Linked DNA regions of Anolis sagrei. The protein of the gene in region 1 purifies or fractionates together with the protein of each later gene. This does not show direct contact. Links are inferred from orthologs where the notes say so. Each region holds a gene or a part of one and is shown on either strand. Other genes may lie near its edges.

The links. The genes of interacting proteins can lie anywhere in the genome.
Region 2: the proteins of PRKAG3 (region 1) and PRKAA2 purify together in Homo sapiens (affinity purification with mass spectrometry; 3 studies listed by BioGRID and IntAct, counting the BioPlex papers as one, with this or other methods). This does not show direct contact. The link is inferred for Anolis sagrei from reciprocal best matches to the Homo sapiens genes PRKAG3 and PRKAA2.
Region 3: the proteins of PRKAG3 (region 1) and PRKAA1 purify together in Homo sapiens (affinity purification with mass spectrometry; 3 studies listed by BioGRID and IntAct, counting the BioPlex papers as one, with this or other methods). This does not show direct contact. The link is inferred for Anolis sagrei from reciprocal best matches to the Homo sapiens genes PRKAG3 and PRKAA1.

Annotation. Positions count from the first base shown.
Region 1 is NC_090021.1:230,119,604-230,127,442, forward strand, and holds the start of PRKAG3 (5'-AMP-activated protein kinase subunit gamma-3), read right to left. Parts: upstream 3,091-7,839; 5' UTR 3,039-3,090; coding exon 2,784-3,038; intron 1,231-2,783; coding exon 1,191-1,230; intron 1-1,190. UniProt on the Homo sapiens protein: AMP/ATP-binding subunit of AMP-activated protein kinase (AMPK), an energy sensor protein kinase that plays a key role in regulating cellular energy metabolism.
Region 2 is NC_090024.1:170,779,594-170,787,200, forward strand, and holds the start of PRKAA2 (5'-AMP-activated protein kinase catalytic subunit alpha-2), read right to left. Parts: upstream 3,104-7,607; 5' UTR 2,976-3,103; coding exon 2,870-2,975; intron 1-2,869. UniProt on the Homo sapiens protein: Catalytic subunit of AMP-activated protein kinase (AMPK), an energy sensor protein kinase that plays a key role in regulating cellular energy metabolism.
Region 3 is NC_090022.1:277,223,511-277,230,869, reverse strand, and holds the start of PRKAA1 (5'-AMP-activated protein kinase catalytic subunit alpha-1), read right to left. Parts: upstream 3,104-7,359; 5' UTR 3,049-3,103; coding exon 2,946-3,048; intron 1-2,945. UniProt on the Homo sapiens protein: Catalytic subunit of AMP-activated protein kinase (AMPK), an energy sensor protein kinase that plays a key role in regulating cellular energy metabolism.

The DNA.
Region 1 (7,839 bases):
CTGGGATCTGTTAAAGATGTTAATCTAAAACTCAGAGAAAATGGAATGGACTACAACAGAGATTATGTTAAATACAACAGACAATTGTTTATTTATTTATTTTATTTTATTTTTCCTATTATCACCTATCCCACTATAAAGAAAGAAGTTCTAAATAGTTATTTTTCCTGGTTTTTTTCTTGTGTTGATTTTTCTCTCTTTTAAACTATAACCCAACTTTTTATATATTTTGGATCATTTTTTTCTTTTTCTCCTCTCTCTTTTCTTCGCTCTCCCCCTTCCTTCCTTCCTTCCTTCCTTCCTTCCTTCCTTTCTTCCTTCCTACCTACCTACCTACCTACCCTTACTTTCCCAATCTCTTCCCTTATATTTCCCCCCTTCTCTCCTCCCCTTATCCACCTCCCACCTCTCCTGAAAAATTATCAATAAAATATTTTTTAAAAAGAGGCCTTTATGGTTATTAAAGCATTTATGTATCCATCAACATAATCTTTATTGAGTGGCCTCACAACAACCCTGTGAGGTAGGTTGTCATTTGACAGATAGAAAACAGAGGCTGGAAAATATTGCTGTGATGGGGAATCTGAATTTTGGATTTGGGTCTTCCAGATTCTATTCTAATTATCTGTTTATTACATTAGATGGCATCAATTCCATCAAAACTAGAATTCCCCACACCATAATAACGAGGAAAGTGGAACTTGGATACTGGGACAGATCACAATACCAGACATGAGAGAATAAATCCACTTAAAATTCGGTTTCTGCCTCTTGCAGAAACCAGATTTTAAGGGGTTTGAAGTTTCAGGGGTTTGAAGTTTAGGAAGGAGCCTTTAACAGCCTCCCTAAACTACAACTCCCAGAATTCTGCAGGAGGCAGAAACTGGATTTTAAGTGCATTTTTCTCTAGTGTGATGAAGTAGTACAATGGAAACAATTGTTTAGGCAGAAAGGCACCATCCTGGCTAAACAGGGCAAACAGCAAGAGCATGAAGTAATGTCTCTGACTGCATATGTACAAAATCGTGCTGTTATTGATTAGCAGTTTTTGAAGAAGTCCCAAAACAGGTAGTTAGTATCCAAAGCAATCCTCTGGGCACAGACAGATGACAGGCGGATGACAGGCAGTGAAGTCTGTACTTGGGAGAAGTCACTCCACCAGCGGCAGGCAAAGCCAACATACTACCCACCTGCTTCCTGATGCTGGAGACCATTGTTCAGTGGTAATGCCTAGGAGTGGAACACAAACGGATGGTATTACACAGAGATTGCCTATGCCATGCTGAATTGGGATCTGTGCAGCAGATGTTACAAGTCTGGAGTATTTCCAATGAGAATGCTATCCTGAGAGAAGAAACCTGCAGACTAAGTTTCCATTCCTAAGCTATCATAAATTAAAAAGGGCATTAAATTCATTTTTAAAATGTTGGCTAAGGGCTTCTAAAACTTTTTGCACTCAAAATGTCTTTCTGCCAGATAAATTTTTACACAAGTATATAAGTATTAAAAATAAGTATAAAATCAAACAACTACTGATATAATTCAGCATTTGCAATGCTTGTAAAGAAGACTGATTTTCCTTTCTATGAAGTCATAGCATCATAGAATCATAGAGCTGGAAGAGGCCACATGGGCCACCTAGCCCAACCCCCTGAAACTTTTTTTACACTCCCCATGACCATGACAGGAAACAGCCCTCAACATTCACTTTTTGGATTTTTGGATTTAAGTGGGGGATGGTTATGGATGGTTGCACCCATGGACGCCAAAACCTTTGGTATGGAGAGTCAACTGTACCATCAAATACCTGCTCAGGTGAGGTTAGCCCTGGGACCTGAGAGAAAGGATCTGGCAAAAACTGGCATCAATAGTTAGAAAGACCCTTCCCTTGAAACAAGGCCTGGTGCAAGACAGAAAGAGATTTGTCAGATGGGATTTGTCACTAAATTGAATCTAAATCATCCATATCTACAAAGCTTGGCCAGTGGGATTGATCAATGAAAATGTCAAGCCCACTAAGCCCTTCCAGTATTTTCTGTTGATCATGGGAGTCCAATTCTGTTGGTGGTGGGGTTCAGAATGCTCTTTGATTGTAGGTGAACTATAAGTCCCAACAACTACAACTCCCAGATGTCAAGGTCTATTTCCCCCCAAACTCCACCAGTGTTCACAGTTGGGCATATTGAGTATCTGTGCCAAGTTTGGTCCAGATCCATCATTGTTTGAGTCCACAGTGCTCTCTGGACGTAGGTGAACTACAACTCCCAAACTCAAGGTTAAGCCCACTAAGCCCTTCCAGTATTTTCTGTTGATCATGGGAGTCCTGTATGCCAAGTTTAGATCAATTCTATCATTGGTGGGGTTCAGAATGCTCTTTGATTGTAGGTGAACTATAAATCTCAGCAACTACAACTCCCAAATGACAAAATCAACCCCGTATCTAACCCCACCAGTATTCCAATTTGGGGGGTATCGGGTATTTGTGCCAAATTTGGTGCAGTGAATGAAAATACATATCAGATATTTACATGATGACTCATAACAGAAGCAAAATTACGGTTATGAAGTAGCAACGAAAATAATGTTATGGTTGGGGGTCACCACCACATGAGGAACTGTATTAAGGGGTCGCGGCGTTAGGCAGGTGGAGAAGCCCTGGTGTAGAGGGCGGGCGGGCGGCGGCGTGTGCGTGGCGAGAGGCAGGCCGTGTCTGGAGGCGCCCCGGGGCTGGAGGGCGTCCCCTTGGGCTCCTCGGCCGGGGCTGGCAGCCAAGTGCGCCTTACCTGCTCCGAGGCCGCGTCCTCCTGCCTCTCCATGGCTCCTCTTTCGGGCGAAGGGCCGAGGCGCTGGGGCGTCCGGCGGGGCGGTGGGGTGGGCCTGGCATAAACACACGGGCAGCGGAGGGGAGGGCGGAGCGGAGGGGGAGGAGAGAGGGAAGGCCCGCCCCGCCGCCCCTCGGCCACCCCCGCACTTCCAGAAGGGTCAGAAGGCGCCCGGACAGAGCTGCGCCCCAGGCCGGGGAGAAAGAGGGAGCGCATCTGCACCGTGGCACGAACGCAGCTTGGCACCGCTTGGACTGCCTAGGCCAGTGGTTCCCCCCCCTTCCTATTCCCGCGACCCCTTAATACACTTCCTCATGTTGTGGTGACCCGCAACCATAACATTATTTTCGTTGCTACTTCATAACAAATTTTGCTACTGTTATTAATTGTAATGTAAATATCTGATACGCAGGATGAATTTTCATTCACTGGACCACATTGGGCACAAATACCCGAAACGCCCAAATTTGAACACTGTTTTGATTTTGTCATTTGGGAGTTGTAGTTGCTGGGATTTATTGTCCACCTACAATCAGAGCATTCTGAACTCCACTCAGGATGGAATTGAACCAAACTTGGCCACACAGAACTCCCATGACCAACAGAAAATATTGGAAGGGTTTGCTGGCCACTCACCTTGAGTTTTGGAGTTGTAGTTCACCTACATCCAGAGACCACTGTGGACTCAAACAATGATGGATCTGGACCAAACTTGGCACAAATACTCAATATGTCCAAATGGGAACACTAGTGGAGTTTAGGGGAAATAGACCTTGACATTTGGGAGTTGTAGTTGCTGGGATATATAGTTCACCTACAAAGAGCACTCTGAACTCCACCAACGATGGAATTGAACCAAACTTGGCACACAGGACTCCCATGACCAACAGAAAATATTGGAAGGTTTTGCTGGCCAGTCACCTTGAGTTTTGGAGTTGTAGTTCACCTACATCCAGAGACCACTGTGGACTCAAACAATGATGGATCTGGACCAAACTTGGCACAAATACTCAATATGTCCAAATGGGAACACTAGTGGAGTTTAGGGGAAATAGACCTTGACATTTAGGAGTTGTAGTTGCTGGGATTTATAGTTCACCTACAATCAAAGAGCATTCTGAACCCCACCAATGATGGAATTGAACCAAACTTGGCACACAGAACACTCATGACCAACAGAAAATACTGTGTTTTCTGATGGTCTTTGGCGACCCCTCTGGCATTCCTCTCATGACCCTCCCCCCAGGGATCCCGACCTCCAGGTTGAGAAACACTGGCCTAAGGAATTACACCAGTTGCAGTCTAATGAGGCACCAGTCAGAGGAGGTGATGCAGCAAAAGTGTTGCCAAGCTGCATCTATTTACAGCAGAGCTTCCCAAAAATCAGGATCTGTTCGTGTGTCAGCTGCAGTGTGTCAGTGTGTTTTGCAAATACCTCTGTGTTTATATGAAATAAGCAATCCATGATAATCTACATTTCAAAATAGAAAGGAAAGGTTTTCATGAGTTATGCCATGTCCCCATGCATGTCGTTATTGCAATTTACATATGTTTTTTTTTGTGTGTGTCAGAAGCAACTTGAGAAACTGCAAGTCGCTTCTGGTGTGAGAGAATTGGCCGTTTCTAGGGACTTTGCCCAGGGAATGCCATCCTGTGGGAGGCTTCTCTCATGTCCCTGCATGGGAAGCTGGAGCTGATAGACAGGAGCTCACCCTGTCTTGCATATTCGAACCACCGACCTTCAGGTCAGCAGTTCAGCTGGCACAAGGATTTAACCCATTGCACCACTGCGGCTGTCCATATCTCTTATAAGGGGTTGGTTTAACCTCTGGGTTTCTAGTAAAACTGAATAACTCACAAAATTATAGATGCCTAAAATGGTGCCTCACCAACATGAAATGTTTTGTAAACTCAGGTTTACAGTACAACAGCATGCCAGGCAGTTTCCGATCACTGTAATATTTGCAGTGAAAATATAAAATGATGCAAATCAATTCATCTTCATTTTGAAATCAGTTTCAAAACAGAGAAAAGTGTTAAAAGCTAAACATCACAAGAAAATAAAAGAACTCTTTCCCCTATACATTAAAATCCTGCTTTTAAAAAAGTAAAAGAAAACCGTGGAAGCAGGCCCGTAGCCAGGATTTTGTTTGGGGACGGGGGGGCTGAGTTTGGTTCGGGGGGGGGGCTGAGTCTGAGTGAAAGAGGGTCTACCCCAATACCCCATGCATATGGGATATATCGAGCATGGTGATCAGATCATGATATGAATAAACATAACAGTTTAAATAATGTACCAGTAAGGCCTTCTCGCGGACCACCATCAGAATTTCGAGGGGGGAGCTGTAGCCTGCGTGCCTGCGTGGAAGTTATTCTGTTCTTTTTAAACCATCCACCCATTTTTGGGATCCAGCAATTGACAGCACATTCAATCTCAACTATAGCATGGCCAAAACATTGAGAACAGGGGTCGCCAAAGTGCGGGCCTATAGATTTTGATACATTGTGGCTACCATCAGCCCTAGCCAGTGAAGGATTATGGGAGCTTCTCATAATCTAGAAGGCCACAATTGTCTACCCTGATTTAGTGGTGTGGAAGGTATCGTATATTCTCAAGTATAAGACAACCCGAATATAAGCCGAGGCACCTAATTTTACCACAAAAAACTGGGAAAACTTACTGACTTGAGTATAAGCCAAGGGTGGGAAATGCAGCAGCTACTGGTAAGTTTCAAAATAAAAATAGATACCAATAAAATTGCATTAATTGTGACATACAGCTTCTCCTCTCGGCAAAGCAATCCACAGCAGTGCTGAGAGGAGAGGTCGCACGCCTTCCTTTCCTCCTCTCTAGGCACAGAGATCCAACTAAATTGCTGTGCCGAAAGGGGAGAAGGCAAGCAGCTGGTAGAAGCCTTGCAAAGTGCTTCTTTCAGCCCCACACCTTCCCACCAGTACCTTCACTCGAGTATGTCGAGGGGACCTTTTTCAGCATTAAAAATGTGCTGAAAATCTAGGATTATACTTGAGTATAAGTATACAGTACTTGGTACTCAAAGAGCCACTGTGTCTCTCATTTTCCAGGCTACTTGTTTCTTGGCTGCCAAATAACATTTATGTAGATTTAAAGGGAATGTTAGATTTCCAGTGTTTACTAATAATTCACCTGGTTTGTTTTAAAAAAAAAACTCGATGTAGCCAGCATACTGTGGATCAGTGCTCTTATTACTGGTATATAATCCAAAATGGTATCAAGAACTAGATTGTGATATCAAAGCCTTTCAGGCTGTGAGTTTGCTGTGAGTTTTCTAGGCTGTATGGCCATGTTCCAGAAGCATTATCTCCTGACATTTCACCCACTTCTATGGCAGGCATCCTCAGAGGTTCTAAGGTCTTGTCAAAGGCTTTCATGGCCGGAATCACTGGGTTGTTGTATGGTTTTTGGGCTATATGGCCATGTTCTAGAGGCATTCTCTCCTGATGTTTTGCCTACATCTATGGCAAGCATCCTCAGAGGAAACCCATTTTCCTAGTTCCAACAGACCTCACTACCTCTGAGGATGCTTGCCATAGATGCAGGCGAAACATCAGGAGAGAATGCCTCTAGAACATGGCCATATAGCCTGAAAAAACCTACAACAACCCAGTTCTAAGGTCTGTTGGGAGACTAGGCAAGTGGGGTTTATATATCTGTGGAATGTCCAGGGTGGGAGAAAGAAGTCTTGTCTGCTGGAGGCAAGTGTGAAGAACTAGATTTGTACAGACACATACACTTTCCAACAGTGTCGAGCAGTTTCAGTTCTTGGAAACACATTCAGAGGGTAGCCAGGTAGAAAAATACAACGAATACCAGATCTTTGATATATTAAAAACTCCTCTAAAACATCTAGTCATTTTGTAAACCATCTAATATGTGTGTGTATACACAACCCTTCAAGTTGCCTATTGATTTATTTATGGTAACCCATTTATTTTATACTGTTTTCTTAGGCAAGGAATACTCAGAGGTGGTGAAATATAACCTACAACACCTGATATTCGTTGTATAAGGCTGTTAAAAATAAATCTGCAAACTTAGTGGCGATGTGGTTTATAAAGATCCATTTAATGAAAGTATTGCTCTTTTGTAGATTTTGAATTTTGGGAGTAACTTTGGGGTCAGATCACAAGTAAGAGGCGTACCTTGGCTGCCCAGTCCTAACTCTTCATGAGATGCCAAGTTCTACTATATATCAGGGTCATGTCATAGTAGAAGCTGAGCACTTATATAACATGTTGAAACTAGGACATTACAGAGTGTGCATGTGTATGTGAGATGGTTTTCATAAATGATCAAAAGGATTTTCCTCTGTGACCAATACATTTAGCATCCTTTGCTTAAAAAATCATATGAAGAGCCCTACTGACTCAGATCAAAGGCCTGTTATTCCTTTATCATAGCAGATAACTAACTATAGCCACAGCTGAATAAAATCCCACAATTTCTGCTTTGAACAGGGATATATGGCAATGTGGACTGATAACCCAGTTCAAAGAAGATATTGGGTTATATAGCTGTGTGGAAGGACCCTGAGAGTACCCTGCTTGTGTTCCTTCGGCTGAGGCTAGCCTGAGACAGCTTGCTGTCAGAAGTAGCAAAGGGACTTGTTATTCTGGGTTATATAGCTGTGTGGAAGGGCCCTACATCATTTGGGGAAGCCCACCAGCAGGACAGAGGAATACCTGTCTATCTAGGATACTGAATACATCGCTGGAGCTGATATATAGACATCACCAATAGCTACAAACAGTACTGACAAGGAGCCAAACTGAGGGCCCTTCCACACAGTCATGCATCCCAGAATATCAAGGCAGAAAAACCCTCACCCTCTGAGGATGCCTGCCATAGATGCAGGCGAAACGTCAGGAGAAATGCCTCTAGAACATGGCCATATAGCCCGAAAAAACCCACAAGAACCCACAATATCTGTTTTGAATTGGGTTATCCGAGTCCAACTCAGATAATGTGGGATTTTCT
Region 2 (7,607 bases), on another chromosome or scaffold:
GCATGACTGAATGGAGCGCCATTACCTTCTTGTCAAGGTGGTACCTATTGATCTACTCATATTTTCATGTTTTTGAACTGCTAGGTTGGCAGGAGCTGGGCTAACAGCAAGAGCTCATGCCGCTTCAAGGATTCGAATCTGTGACCTTTCGATCAGCAAGTTCGGCAGCTCAGTGGTTTAAACCACCATGCTACTGGGGGCTCCAATATGTGGTAATCCTATATGTAGAAAGCAGTAGACGAATGCTTGCATTTTGGATTGTTTTTGTTGTTGTTATTATTATTATTATTCACCCAACTTTCCCTCAAGGCAAGGGACAATACACTTAAAATATATAGATAACAAGATCATTAAAACATTTATAAAATAGACTCTCAACTAACTAGCAAAAGAAATCAAAGAAATTACATAGAATTCACAAAACTGTTTTTACAATACAATAAAACTGTGATAAATTAAGCTTCTCTTTATCTTTCCTAAATGACTTTCCATTGCTGTATTTCAATATTAATATTGTCAATACAGAGTTTATGATATGATATGGTACAGAATAGCGTAGAATATGAGGCCTATTTTTACTAGTAACTCTCAAGCAACCAGAAACCACATTTATTTGACATTTATACTGTTTTTTATTGATGGCATTGAATTGTTGCGAACACTGTGAACTACTCTAAGTGCTCTTCGGGGTTGAGAAGGGTGGTATACAAATACTGCAAATAAATAAATAAATACATCTACCAATCCCTGTGGGTGCCAGTTAACTGAGATTCTAGGAGCTCCCAGTGGCACAATGGGTAAAACTCTTGTGTTGGCAAAACTGCTGACTGAAAAGTCGGCGGTTCAAATCTGAGGAGCAGGGTGAGCTTCCATCTGTCAGCTCCAGCTTCTCATGCTGGGACATGAGAGAAGGCTGCCACAGGATAGTAAAACATCCAAGTGTCCCCTTGGAAATGTCCTTGCAGATGACCAATTCGCTCACACCAGAAGCAACTTGCAGTTTCTCAAGTTGCTCCTGACACAAAAAAACCTCTCAAAGTCTACAGTATTATGTATATACTTGTTGGCATTGCATATTTGCCTTTTATGTTGTCAGACGCTCTGAGTCCCATGTTGGGAGGTGGGCGGGATATCAAGTTTTATTATTATTATATTACATAGCAGAGGTGAGATTAAAAACACGTTAAGATCATTTGTACCAAGTGTTTGCCTTTGACAATGAGGCAGGTCCACCAACGACTCCACCTTTGCTTTGAGAAATACCCCCAGACCTTCAACCCCAGTGCTCTTGCAGTTTTGGACTCTCAGTTCCCAGAAGCCTCCGCTGTCAGGGCCAATGAGCAGGGATTCTGGTAGCTGGAGTTCAAAACACCTGGGAGACCAGCGTTTGGGAGACAAGGTTCCAGACCAGAGCAGGATTTCTCCCTCTCCCTCTACATATATACTCTGTGTGTGTACAGAGAGAGTGTATATAGTGTGTGTGTATATGTATGTGTATATATACACACATATACATCTCTCTGTGTGTGTACCAGTAATGAGTAAACTTTGCCCCTCCAGGTGTTTTGGACTCCAACTCCCACAATTCCTAACAGCTTACCAGTATGCATTCATACTGTGTGTATGTATATACCAGGCATGCACAAACTTGCGTCCTCCAGGTGTTTTGGACTTCAATTCCCACAATTTCTAATGTATTTGTACGTGTATGTGTGTGTATACACATACACTTACATGTGTGCATGCATACTGCATGTATGCCGGCTGTTAGGAAAACACCTGGAGGGCCAAAGTTTGACCATTCCTGGTATATATACACACACACATGAATGCATGCATACTGTGTGTGTGTGTGTGTGTGTGTGTGTGTATATATATATATATATATATATATATATACCAGGCCTGGGAAAAATTGGGCCCTCCAGGTATTTTGGACCTCATCTCCCACAATTCCTAATGCATCTGTATGTGTATCTATGTGTATACACACACATACACTTACATGGGTGCATGCATATTGCTCACTTCGGCAGCACATATACTAAAATTGGGATGATACAGAGAAGATTAGCATATTGTGTGTATGCCGGCTGTTAGGAATTCTGGGGGCTGAAGTCCAAAACACCTGGAGGGCTGAAGTTTGCCCATTTCTGGTGTATATATATATATATATATACACACACAAGCATGCATTATTGGCCCTCCTGGTGTTTTGGACTTCAACTCCCACAATTCCTAATCTATGTGTGTGTGTATGCATGCATACTGTGTGTATGCTGGCTGTTAGGAATTGTGGGAGCTGAAGTCCAAAACACCTGGAGGGCCGAAGTTTGCCCATGCCTGGTATGCATGTATATGTGTGTGTGTGTGTGTGTGTGTGTGTGTACATACACACGCACACACAAGCATGCATGCTTGGGCCCTCCTGGTGTTTTGGACTTCACTCCCACAATCCTAATGTGTGTGTGTGTATGCATGCATACTGTGTGTATGTCGGCTGTCAGGAATTGTAGGAGCTGAAGTCCCAAACACCTGGAGGGCGAAGTCTGGGATATAGTCTAAAGATGCTTTTGGATAACGGGGAGAGGTAAACAGGGATGTCCCCAATGAGCTGATATCTTGACCAAGGTTGGGGTGGGTTCCTCCTTGCTGCCATGGGGAGGGGGGAGGGGGGCATTTGGGAGACCCCGAGGGAGGGCTTTAAAAGACTGGCCCCAAAGAAGGGGCGTCCTAGAGGCGCAAGAGCAGCGCTCATGGGGCTCCTGCCTGGATGGGAAGCGCTGGGAGGGCGCTCTCAGGACCGGACCCCTTCCCTTCCTCCCTCCCTCCCTCCTTCTCCGCGGCGCCCCCCTGGGAGATACTCAGCTCTTGACTTTGCCGAAGGTGCCGACGCCCAGCGTGTCCCCCAAAACGTAGTGCCCGATCTTGACGCGCCCGTCGTGCTTCTGCGGCGGCGGAGGCTTCTCTGCCATCTTCGCTGCTCCTGCCGCTTCTGCTGCTGCTGCTGCTGCTCTTGGCAGCTTTGCCTCCGCCGACACCGGCCGGGCCGGACCACAATGCAGCAGGGCCGGCGGCAAAGGCGGCGGGGAGGGATGGGGAGGGCGGCGGGGAAAGGAGGAGGCAGCAGGCGAGGAGAGGCAGCAGCAACAGCCAAGGCAGCAGCAGAGCCCAGAGGTGGGGAAGGGAAGGGGAGGGAGAGAGGTGGGCAGGTACGCAGGAGAAGAGGCGGGAAGGCATTTCTTCTCCCTGGGGATGGCTAAAACATGTCTCTCTCTGTGTGTGTTTTCTCTCATTTATTCATATATTTTTTCTAATTACACTATGCAACACGACTTTTTTTGGTCCTGGTTTATCAATGTCATTTCCTAATTGGTTCAGTCATAAAATATGTGGAAAGTTGTCTTGGCTGGAATCACTGTGTTGTTTTGTCTTGGCTGGAATCACTGGGTTGCTGTGAGTTTTGGGGCTATATGGCCATGTTCCAGAAGCATTCTCTCCTGACGTTTCACTCACATCTATGGCAGGCATCCTCAGAGGTTGTGAGGTCTGTTGGAAACGAGGCAAGTGGGGTTTATATATCAGTAGAATAATCTCTAGGGTGGGAGAAAGAGCTTTTCATAGAATCAAAGAATCAAAGAGTTGGAAGAGACCTCATGGGCCATCCACAGTCCAACCCCCTGCCAAGAAGCAGGAATATTGCATTCAAATCACCCCTGACAGATGGCCATCCAGCCTCTGTTTAAAAGCTTCCAAAGAAGGAGCCTCCACCACACTCCAGGGCAGAAAGTTCCAATGCTGAACGGCTCTCACAGTCAGGAAGTTTTCTCTGCTTGAGGCAAGTGTAGATGTTGCCATTGGCCGCCTTAATTAGCATTGAACGGCCTTGCAGCTTCAAAGCATGGCTAGGGGGAATCCTTTGTTTGGAGGTGTTAAAGGTAAAGATGTATTGTCAAAGGCTTTCACAGCTGGAATCACTGGGTTGTTGTAGGTTTTTTTCAGGCTATATGGCCATGTTCTAGAGGCATTCTCTCCTGATGTTCTAGAGAATGCCTCTAGAACATGGCCATATAGCCTGAAAAAACCTACAACAACCCAGTAAAGGTAAAGGCTTCCCCTTGACATTAAGTCTACTTGTGACTGATTCTGGGGGCTAGTGCTCATCTCCATTTCTAAGCCAAAGAGCCGCCATTGTCCATAGACATCTCCTAGGTCGTGTGGCCAGCATGACTGCATGGAGCGCCCTTACCTTCCTGCCAAATCAATTGATCTACTCACATTTGCATGTTTTTGAACTGCTAGGTTGGCAGAAGCTGGGACTAACAACAGGAGCTCACCCTGTCCTGTGGATTCAAACTGCCAACCAGCTTAGCTGTTTAACTCACTGCACCCTAATCAGGACAGTAAATAAAGAACAACACTCAGAAAACAGGGGAATTCCAGATAAGAAACAACCAGGGCCAGCTAACTCATCCCAACAAATTTTCCCCGGGCAGCAACCAGCCAGGCTTTGAAGTTGCAAGGCCATTCAATGCAAATCAAGTTGGGCAGTTGCAACATTCACACTTGCCTCAAGTAGACAAGACTTCTTTCTTCTACCCTGGACATGCCACAGATATATAAACTGCACTTGCCTAGTTTCCAACAGACCTCACAAATTTCTGAGGATGCCTGCCATAGATGTGGGATGAAACATCAGGAGAAAATGCTTCTGGAACATGGCCATACAGCCTGGAAAACTCACAGCAACCCAGTTTATTACATTGCAAAAACTGTGTTTTTTGCAGGACACCCTGCAGCACATTTTGCTAGAGTTTTGCAATGAATGTCTCATCAGGTCTCAACCAATTCAACATAGTTTGTGGAAGCCACAAAAATGAAGATCCTGGACTACAACAACTACTTTCAAAGTAAGTACCACACAATTAAACAGGAAATAACACTTTCAAACCAGGAACAGATTTTTATTTTTCAAATATTGTTACATAGTGTTATTAGAAGCAGTCATAGTTTTTGGATTTTATGAATAGTCTCATTAGGAAATGCATAAGGATGGGGATAGATTACAAATCCCATCGTCATCTGTCATTGCCCCCAAATGGTGCCTGTAGTTAAAGTTGATCATGATGGGTAAGTGTTCCAAGTTTGATTGATTGCATTCATGGTGCTCCCTGGACATGGGTGGACTGCAATTCCCATCATTTCTGTCATTGGCCAACCCCACCAGTACTTAAAGATGGGGATGTGTGCCATGTTTGGTACAGATCCATCATTGGTGGAGTTCAGCATCCTCTTTGACTGAGTGAACAACAACTCCCAGCATCCAAGGTCAACCCCCCACCCCTACCAGTACTTAAAGCTGGTCATGATGCTTATTTATGCTAAGTTTTGTCCAGTCTTAGAATCACAGGTGTACTTTATGTATTTTTGTAGGTGATACTGGAATAAGGATGCATCTTACAATTGATGGTGTCTCACAATTGAAGAAATATGGTATATAGAAAAAAATACAGCTAAAATCAACAGCAACAAAGAAATTTACAATGACTTCCAACATTCCTTATGATTATAAGTGAAATAACTGTATATAAAATCCTACTCTCCAGCAAAGGATCACCGCCTTGTCGGGGCGCTGGAGCTTGAGCACCTCAATGATGTCATGAGCAAAACCGTGAAGGGCCACCCAAGACGGGACGGTTGTGGCAGAGAGGTCAGACCAAGCATGATCCCTGGGGAAGGCAATGGCAAACCACTCCAGTATCCTTGCCAAGAAAACTAAATGGACCAGTACAACCAGAGATATGTCGGTATGCCATTGGAAGATGGGACTCCCAGGTCGGAAGATGGCCAAAATGCTACTGGGGAGGAGCAGAGGATAAGTTCAACTAGCCCCAGATGTGATGACGCAGCTAGCTCAAAGCCGAAAGGAAGGCTAGCTGCCGACGGTACTGGAGGTGAACGACGAATCCGATGCTCTAAAGATCAACACACCATAGGAACCTGGAATGTAAGATCTATGAGCCAGGGCAAATTGGATGTTGTTATTGGTGAGATGTCAAGACTAAAGATAGACATTCTGGGGGTCAGCGAACTGAAATGGACTGGAATGGGCCACTTCACATCAGAGGACCACCAGATCTACTACTGCGGAGAAGAGGAACATAGAAGAAATGGAGTAGCCTTCATAATTAATAAGAAATTCGCTAAAGCAGTGCTTGGATACAACCCAAAAAATGACAGAATGATCTCAATTCGAGTGCAAGGAAAGCCTTTACACATTACAGTGATCCAAATATACGCCCCAACCACAGCTGCTGAAGAAGCAGAAGTAGATCAGTTCTATGAGGATCTGCAGGACCTACTGGATAATACACCAAAAAGAGACATTATTTTCATTACGGGAGACTGGAATGCCAAGGTGGGAAGTCAAGTGACAACTGGGATCACAGGCAAGCATGGTCTGGGAGAACAAAATGAAGCGGGACGCAGGCTGATAGAATTTTGCCAGGAAAACTCGCTGTGTATAACGAATACTCTCTTCCAACAACCTAAAAGACGGCTTTACACATGGACCTCACCAGATGGTCAACACCGAAATCAGATTGACTACATCCTTTGCAGCCAAAGGTGGTGGACATCCATCCAGTCGGTGAAAACAAGACCTGGGGCTGACTGTAGCTCAGATCACGAACTTCTTATTGCACAATTTAGAATAAAACTAAAGAGATCAGGGAAAATACACAGACCAGTTAGATATGATCTCACTAACATTCCTAGCGAATATACAGTGGAAGTGAAGAACAGATTTGAAGGACTAGATTTAGTAAACAGAGTCCCAGAAGAACTATGGACAGAAGTCCGCGACATTGTTCAGGAGACGGCAACAAAGTACGTTCCAAAGAAAAAGAAAACCAAGAAGGCAAAATGGTTGTCTGCTGAGACACTGGAAGTAGCCCAAGAAAGGAGGAAAGCAAAAGGAAACAGGGATAAGAGGAGATATGCCCAGTTAAATGCGCAATTCCAGAGGTTAGCCAGAAGAGATAAGGAACTATTTTTAAATAAGCAATGCATGGAAGTGGAAGAAGACAACAGAATAGGAAGGACAAGAGACCTCTTCCAGAAAATTAGAAACATTGGAGGTAAATTTCAGGCAAAAATTGGTATGATAAGAAACAAAGATGGCAGGGACCTAACAGAAGCTGAAGAGATCAAGAGAAGGTGGCGAGACTATACAGAAGATCTGTATAGGAAGGATAATAATATTGAGGATAGTTTTGACGGTGTGGTGAATGAATTAGAACCAGACATCCTGAGGAGTGAGGTTGAATGGGCCTTAAGAAGCATTGCTAACAACAAGGCAGCAGGAGACGACAGGATCCCAGCTGAACTGTTTAAAATCTTAAAAGATGATGCTGTCAAGGTGATGCATGCCATTTGCCAGCAAATATGGAAAACACAAGAATGGCCATCAGACTGGAAAAAATCAACTTATATCCCCATACCAAAAAAGGGAAATGCGAAAGACTGCTCAAACTTCCGTACAGTGGCCCTTATTTCTCATGCCAGTAAGGTAATGCTCAAGATTCTGCAAGGAAGACTCCAGCAAT
Region 3 (7,359 bases), on another chromosome or scaffold:
TGGCCATAAAACAAGTACCAGACATACAAAGGTTGACAGGAATAGAACAAGACTTAATCCAATGTAAACGTACATCGAAAGGGTTGGGCTGCATAGTAGTACACTATTGCCACATAATACCTGGGAGTTTAATTCAACAGGACTTGGTCCTGACTAGAAAAGGGCAAGATCTAGATTGAAAGAGAACTGTTAAGGTTTACTTTGTTTTTCCCCCTCAAAGCCCCTCAAAGTGCACCTGTATCAGGCCTGGGCAAACTTCAGCCCTCTGTGTTTTTGGACTTCAACTCACACAATGGCTGTTAGGAATTGTAAGAGTTGAAGTCCAAAACACCTTGAGGGCCAAAGTTTGCCCAGGCCTGATCTATATCATCAAATTAATGCTGTTTGCCATCACCTGAACTGCCATGGCTCAATGATATGAAATTCTGGGAGTTGTCATTTTACAAAGGCTTCCGCCATCTTTTCCAAAGAGTGCTTGTGCCTCACAAAAGTGCAAATTCCAGGATTGTGAAGCAATGAGCCATGGCAGTGCAAGAGGTGTCTAACTGAATTCATTCTATAATTGCAGAATTACATTATAGAATGAATTCAGTTTGACACCACTTTCAGCTGTTAGGAATTGTGAGAGTTGAAGTTCAAAACACCTGGAGGGCCCAATTTTGCCCATGCCTGATAGGTACACCCTTCATTACAGGTAGTCTCTTTGGCAAAGACGTCTAAGGACCTGGTAAAAGGATAACCTCCAGGATTTCATAACACTGAACAATTCAAGTGGTGTCAAACTGCTTTAATCTGACAGCACCCTCTGACAGAAACTAAACCAAGCAAAGACACTTCTCAATGTAGACCCTTCCTTCCTCTTCAGTGTAGTAGAATCACGAGTTGGAAGAGACCCCAAGGACCATCCAGTCCAACCCCTTTCTGCCATAAAGTTATATATATATATATATATATAGAGAGAGAGAGAGAGAGAGAGAGTCAGCTGCAACTTGAGAAGGTGCAAGTCCCTTCTAGTATGAGACAATTGGCTGCCTGCAAGGATGTTGCCCAGGGGACGCCCTAATGTTTTACCATCCTGTGGGAGGCTTCTCCAATTTACCTGCATGGGAAGCTAGAGCTCGCATATGGGCGCTTACCCACTCTTTTTTGATCAGCAGTTCAGCCGGCACAAAGATTTAACCCACTGCGCCACCACGGCTCCCCAAATAATAAGAATAATAAAGCTTTATTTATATCCCGCCTCTCTCCCCTTACAACAAGAAAAAAACAATACAGTGTTCCCTCACTTATTGTGGGGGTTACGTTCCAGGACCTCCAGCAATTAGTGAAAAACTGCAATGTAGAGATGCTGTATTTATATTAATATTTATACATTATTTTAGTAGGTATACATTATTTTAAGTCTTTATACACTTAAAATGAAGTGAAGGAAAGGCCCTTCAAGGGTGGAGGGAGGGAGGGAGGGAAAGCACCTCCGAGAGTGGCAATGGCAAAACCCCACAAAACAGTGAAAATACCATGATTTAATTTTAAATTAATATTTTTTGAAAATCATGTAACAGTTATTCCGTTAAACGTGAACCGCAAAGTAGCACATCTCCCTCTACGTAATGCATCTCCCTCTACGTCCCACCCCAGAGTGCGCTCGACCCCACCACTATCACAAGTGAGGCTGGTGGGGACGAGAAGCAGGGCCTTCTCAGTGGTGGCCCCTCACCTGTGGAACTTACTCCCGGGGGAAATTAGGTCATCAACATCCCTCCTCTCCTTCAGGAGGAAAGTAAAAACGTGGTTGTGGGACCAGGCCTTCAGGCAATCTGACAGCTAGATAAGGACAATCAGACGACTAGGACTGACAGGACTGACAAAGTGGAATTGGAAATTGGACTATGAGATGGCGAACGCGGTGCGTTAAATGTGTGAAATCGGGTTTTATTGGTTTTATAGTTGTAATGCAGAAACTGATTGCTAATTGTTTAGCTGCTGCTATGTTGTTTTTATTCTATTGTTATGTTGATGCCTTTGTAAGCCGCCCTGAGTCCCCTCCGGGCTGAGAAGGGCGGGGTAGAAGTAACCGAAATAATAATAAAATAATAGCGAGGGAACACTGTATACATAGTATCAATCACACTGACAATCCAAAAGGCAAAATCAAAGCAAACAGATCATAGAATCAAAGAGTTGGAAGAGACCTCATAGGCCATCCAGTCCAGCCCCTGTCAAGAAGCAGGAATATTGCATTCAAATCACCACTGACAGATGGCCATCCAGCCCGTTAGTCAAAAGGACAAATCGCAATACACAGAGAAAATAATCCCAATATAATTACAGCCCATAACATGCCCTGTACAAGTATAAAACATTACCACAATTAAAACATACAGTACCACTAAAGCAGGCCTGGGCAAACTTGGGCCCTCCAGGTGTTTTGGACTTCAACTCCCACAATTCCTAACAGCCTATCGGCTGTTAGGAATTGTGGGAGTTGAAGTCCAAAACACCTGGAGGGCCCAAGTTTGCCCAGGCCTGCACTAAAGCATTATGGACTCTGCTTTTATTGGTAAAAGGAATAAAACCCAATTGAAATACAAGAAGGCACAATCAAAGCAAACCCCACAGATGGCCATTCTGCCTCGATTTAAGACCCTCCATCACACTCCAAGGCATTATATTCCACAGTTGAACACTTCTCACTATCAAGAAATGATTGTCAATGTTTTAATTTCTTTCCCTGCCCGTTTGAATCCATTGCTATGCTTAGTAACCTCTCTTCAGGAGAAAGAAACCCACTGGAAGGCCTCAGGAAGGAAAGGGCACAGGCAGGCACCTTCCTCACCTTCACCACCCCACAGATCTCCATTGCCCAGGGAAGGGCGTGCTGCTTGGAAGGAGGACGCCTTTCTCCCCGCCCCGCGCCCCCCACAGCAACCCCTCCGAGGGCTCACCCTTGACTTTGCCGAAGGTGCCCACGCCCAGCGTGTCCCCCAAGATGTAGTGCCCGATCTTCACCCGCCCGTGCTCATGTTTCTGTTTATCCGCCGCCGCCATCTTGCGCCAAGAGCCCGCGCCTGCGCACTAGAGAGGCAGGGAGCGAGACTGACGAGGCTGGGTTTCCCCTCCCCTCCCAAAAGGAAAGGGGCGGGGCCAGGCGAGACTGAACAGGAGGAGGAGCAGCGTTGGCGGCATACAACCACAAAAGGGCCCGCCCGCCTCGAAAACAGGGATGCTGCAATACAGCTATCATATGGCCCTGGTACACTCAGCCGATGGGGACTCCAACTCCCAGAAGCCCCAGCTACCTCGGCCAATTGTGAGGAATTATGGGAATTGAAGTCCCAAAACCTGGAACTGAAATCCAAAAATTTTAGAAGACCACTGCACCGAACTGTTATAGAGCTATTATAATTGTATACATATTACATGTGATATATATTTCTGGTGGTGTTGCAGAATAATGATATAGTACAATATAATTAAATATAATACTAATATTGAGCTAGGTTCTTGTGGGTTTTTTCGGGCTATAGGGCCATGTTCTAGAAGCATTTCTCCTGACGTTTCGCCTGCATCCAAGAAGTAAGCATCTTCTGATTTCCTGGCCACAGTCTGCATCTGCAGTAATCTTTGCACCTAGAAATACAAAGTCTGTCACGGCCTCCACATTTTCTCCCTCTATTTTCCAGTTGTCAATCATTCTTGTTGCCATAATCTTGGTTTTTTTTATTATAAATTACTGTACTGGTTTATGCCAGAGCCTTTGCAGATTATTATTATTATTATTATTATTATTATTATACTGATACAAAAACACAGTATGACACAGCAAACGAAATATATATGCTGGATTTTGTATCACAAAATCACAAGTCGAACACTTCCCAAGGGTTTAGGACTGTGATATTATTATTTCAAAATGTTTAAAAGCAATGCTTTTGGATTTGGAAAGGTTAGCCGTTTATGAGAAACGTTGCCCGAGGGACGCCCAACTGTATTTACTTCGAGGAGGCTCTTTCCATGTCCCCTTGTGTGACTGTGGAGCAGAACAGGCAATTCTGCATCTGTATACTTGTCCATTGTGCCCTGCCTCATGTACAGGGGAGGAATTGTTGGAGGCGGCAGACAATGCCATCGCTGTTGCCCGTTTTTGGTCAAAAGATATTTAGCTGCCTGCACACCTTTTATTTTATCAGTTTTATACTAATTTATGCAATGATTTTGATACGGAATAAATAAATTATTATTTAGATTTAGTTGTGCATAACAACACAGCACAGAACACATGAGTTCCCTCGGGGAGGTAGGGCAGAATATAAATAAAGTATAGATCCCCCTTGAGGGGGTTTGCATGTTCCAATGAACCTGCAGGAATAACCATCGGAGTCATGTACTCCCAAGAGGGGCTGCAGGGGACCAAGCACAATCTAAAGACCTGAAGACCTCAATGGTGGATCAGGCAGAAGATAACATGGCATATGTTACAACAGCTGTGAATGCGGAAGAAGGCTGCAGCAGATTGAGAAACCACCATCATGTTAACCATGCCACTGGTTGGGACCTTCACTCCATGAAGACTGTGTGTTGATTGGCTGTGCACCAACCGCCACACATTAAAAAAAACTCAAGCACAGGCATCTTCCAAGAAAAATAAAACCCTTGGAAGGCTATCATATTCAGACATGGGATTGCCTAAGAAAAAGATAAATCAAGATGATGTTGATGATTAGGTCCAGGTGTCTGGGATTAATCTCTGAATATTGGACTCTTCCCGAGAGATTATTATTATTATTATTATTATTATTATTATTATTATTATTATTTCTCCACCCAAAACTACAAATCCCAGGATTCCATAGAATGTTGCCATGGTCGCTGAAGTGGAATAATACACGTTGGGCATCCCTTATTCCAGAATACTCCAATAATGTCCACATAGTTGGCTGAGAGTGACACCTTTGCTTTCCGAGAGTCCAATCCAATGTGTGCTAATGTCATTTAATACAAAAAAGTTATTTAAAATGTTGTATGGGTTTATGAGCATAAGGTGTATATGAAGCATAAATGAATTTTGTGTTGAGACTTGACTCCTATCTCCAAATAACTGGTAAACAGCAGAATAGAGTGGGACTGTGAATTCCTCAGTCTCAACACTATGGATACAGCCCAGAATCACATTAGTTTTTTAGCTGCTGCATGAACTGTTGGCTCATGTTCAGCTACTAAGACTCCTAGATCCCTTTCACGTGCAGTTTTCAAACCAGGTGCCACCCATCCTATACCTGTGTATTTAATTTTTGTTGCCTAAGTATAGTACCATACATTTCTCCCTGGAACTGTAACCAGAAATACTAGTAGAAATATCTTGGCATTTGACATCCATAATCTAATCAGCAATTGCTTGTCATTGTCCCAGATTCTCACCATCCAGTGCCTCACATTTTCAATAAGTAAATAAATCACAATACATCACAGATTCAGTTTGGGACTTGCAACATGCAACCCTCCTCCCATATGAGCTTGTTCAGGAACTGAACTCTCCAGTGACGGTATTGTCGCATTGTTCCACCATCCTGTGAAGTACACAGAAAACATCCTGGCACTTTAATTGTGGCTCCCCCTCCCAAGGGAAGTCAGGCAGGCTTCCTTGTTACTCAGCATCCGACAGACACTTAATGTTATTATCCTTCCAGGCCTTCAGCTTTTAATTGCTTTAATCTTGTTTCAAAGCATTTTTGTTCTTGCTGTGGATCTGATGGACAGAAAAGCAATTTATGAATACTTGTAAAACTTTTATTTTTAATCATCCTAGTTTCAAGGCATATATTTACTGCTGACTCATGGCTCCCATTCCCAAGTATTGAGGCAAAGACCAGTTTTTGCATGTCTGGCCAGCGACTTTACACCAGAGACCAGAAAAGGAAGGAAGGGGAAGAGAGAAACCAAATTGCACATTTCACCAGAAAACTGTCAGAAATACAATACAGCCATGCCTCCACATTTGCAGTTTGACTTTGATGAATATCTTTCTAGAAATCTCTCGATAAGAGCTCTCCAAACATTTCCTGTTGTTGACACACTTCTTAGATATCCATTTTGCGACACAATAATTCACCTTTATTAGAAAACGGGAGGTTAAACCAACCCCTTATAAGAGATACAATACATAAATTGTAATAATGAAATGTATGAGGACACAACATACCTCATGAAAACCTTCCATTTATATATTTAAAATATATGATGTATTATTTCAGATAGACTCGGAGGTTTATTGTTACATTTGTGTGAGAAACCTACGCACTGCAGCTGACATACTTAACGTGTCACGAACACAAAGCTCTACTCTAGATCCTCCAGTTCAATTCCATGATCAGCTTTCAGCAAAAGTTTATTTATTTAGTTATTTAGAACATTTATACCCCATACTTCTCAACCTCCAAAGAAGGACTCAGGATGCCTTCCAACAGGCAACTATTCGATACCGACACAATATAACAACATAACATAAAAGACAATGGGCATACATTAAAATAGTTATAAATATACATTGAAACAGTTTGCCAGTTCAAATTGTCATCCAAATCAGTCCATTGTGGTCCACTAAAACCTTATCTTCACCAATAAATCCGTCTATTCTGCAAACACTTGATCCCACAGCCAGGATGAGTTTCTTCCTGAAGACCAGGAGGGATGGGGAAGATCTTATCTCATAAGGGAGGGAGATCCACAGCTGGGGGGGCAACACAGAGAAGGCCCTGTCTCTCATCCTCACCAAATGCGACTGCGATGGTGGTGGGACCAAGATCAGGGCCTAGACAGATGATCTTAAGGTTCTTGGTGGTTCGTAGAGGGAGATACGCTCAGACAGGTAAAGTGAGCCTGGATCATTTTTATGGGTTTATAGGTTAAGACCAGCACTTTGAATTGTGCCCAGAAGCTAATAGGCAGCCAGTGAAGCTGGCGTAACAGGAGTTGCATGTACCCCACTCCTTTGAGCAACTTGGCCACCGAGTGTTGGGCTAGCTGAAGCTTCCAAGCAGTCTTCAGAGGCAACCCCATGTAGAATGTGTTGAAGTAATCTATTCAAGTCAAACCTCCCAAGATAACGGGGTAGCTGGTGCACAAGTTTTAATTGTGCGAAAGCTCTCCGGCCACCACCAAGACCTATATATTTCTAGAGAGGTGTTTTTTTCAGATCATAAAACAGTAATTTCTTTCATGGTTTTTCACTCTCATGGGGGTCCTATGCCCCTATTCCCAACAAGTATAGAGGACTGACTGTATTCACGGTCCTTCAGTAACAAGACAACACTAGGGTCCCTATCAAGCTATGCCATTATAGCACTATATTCCACTTTAGCT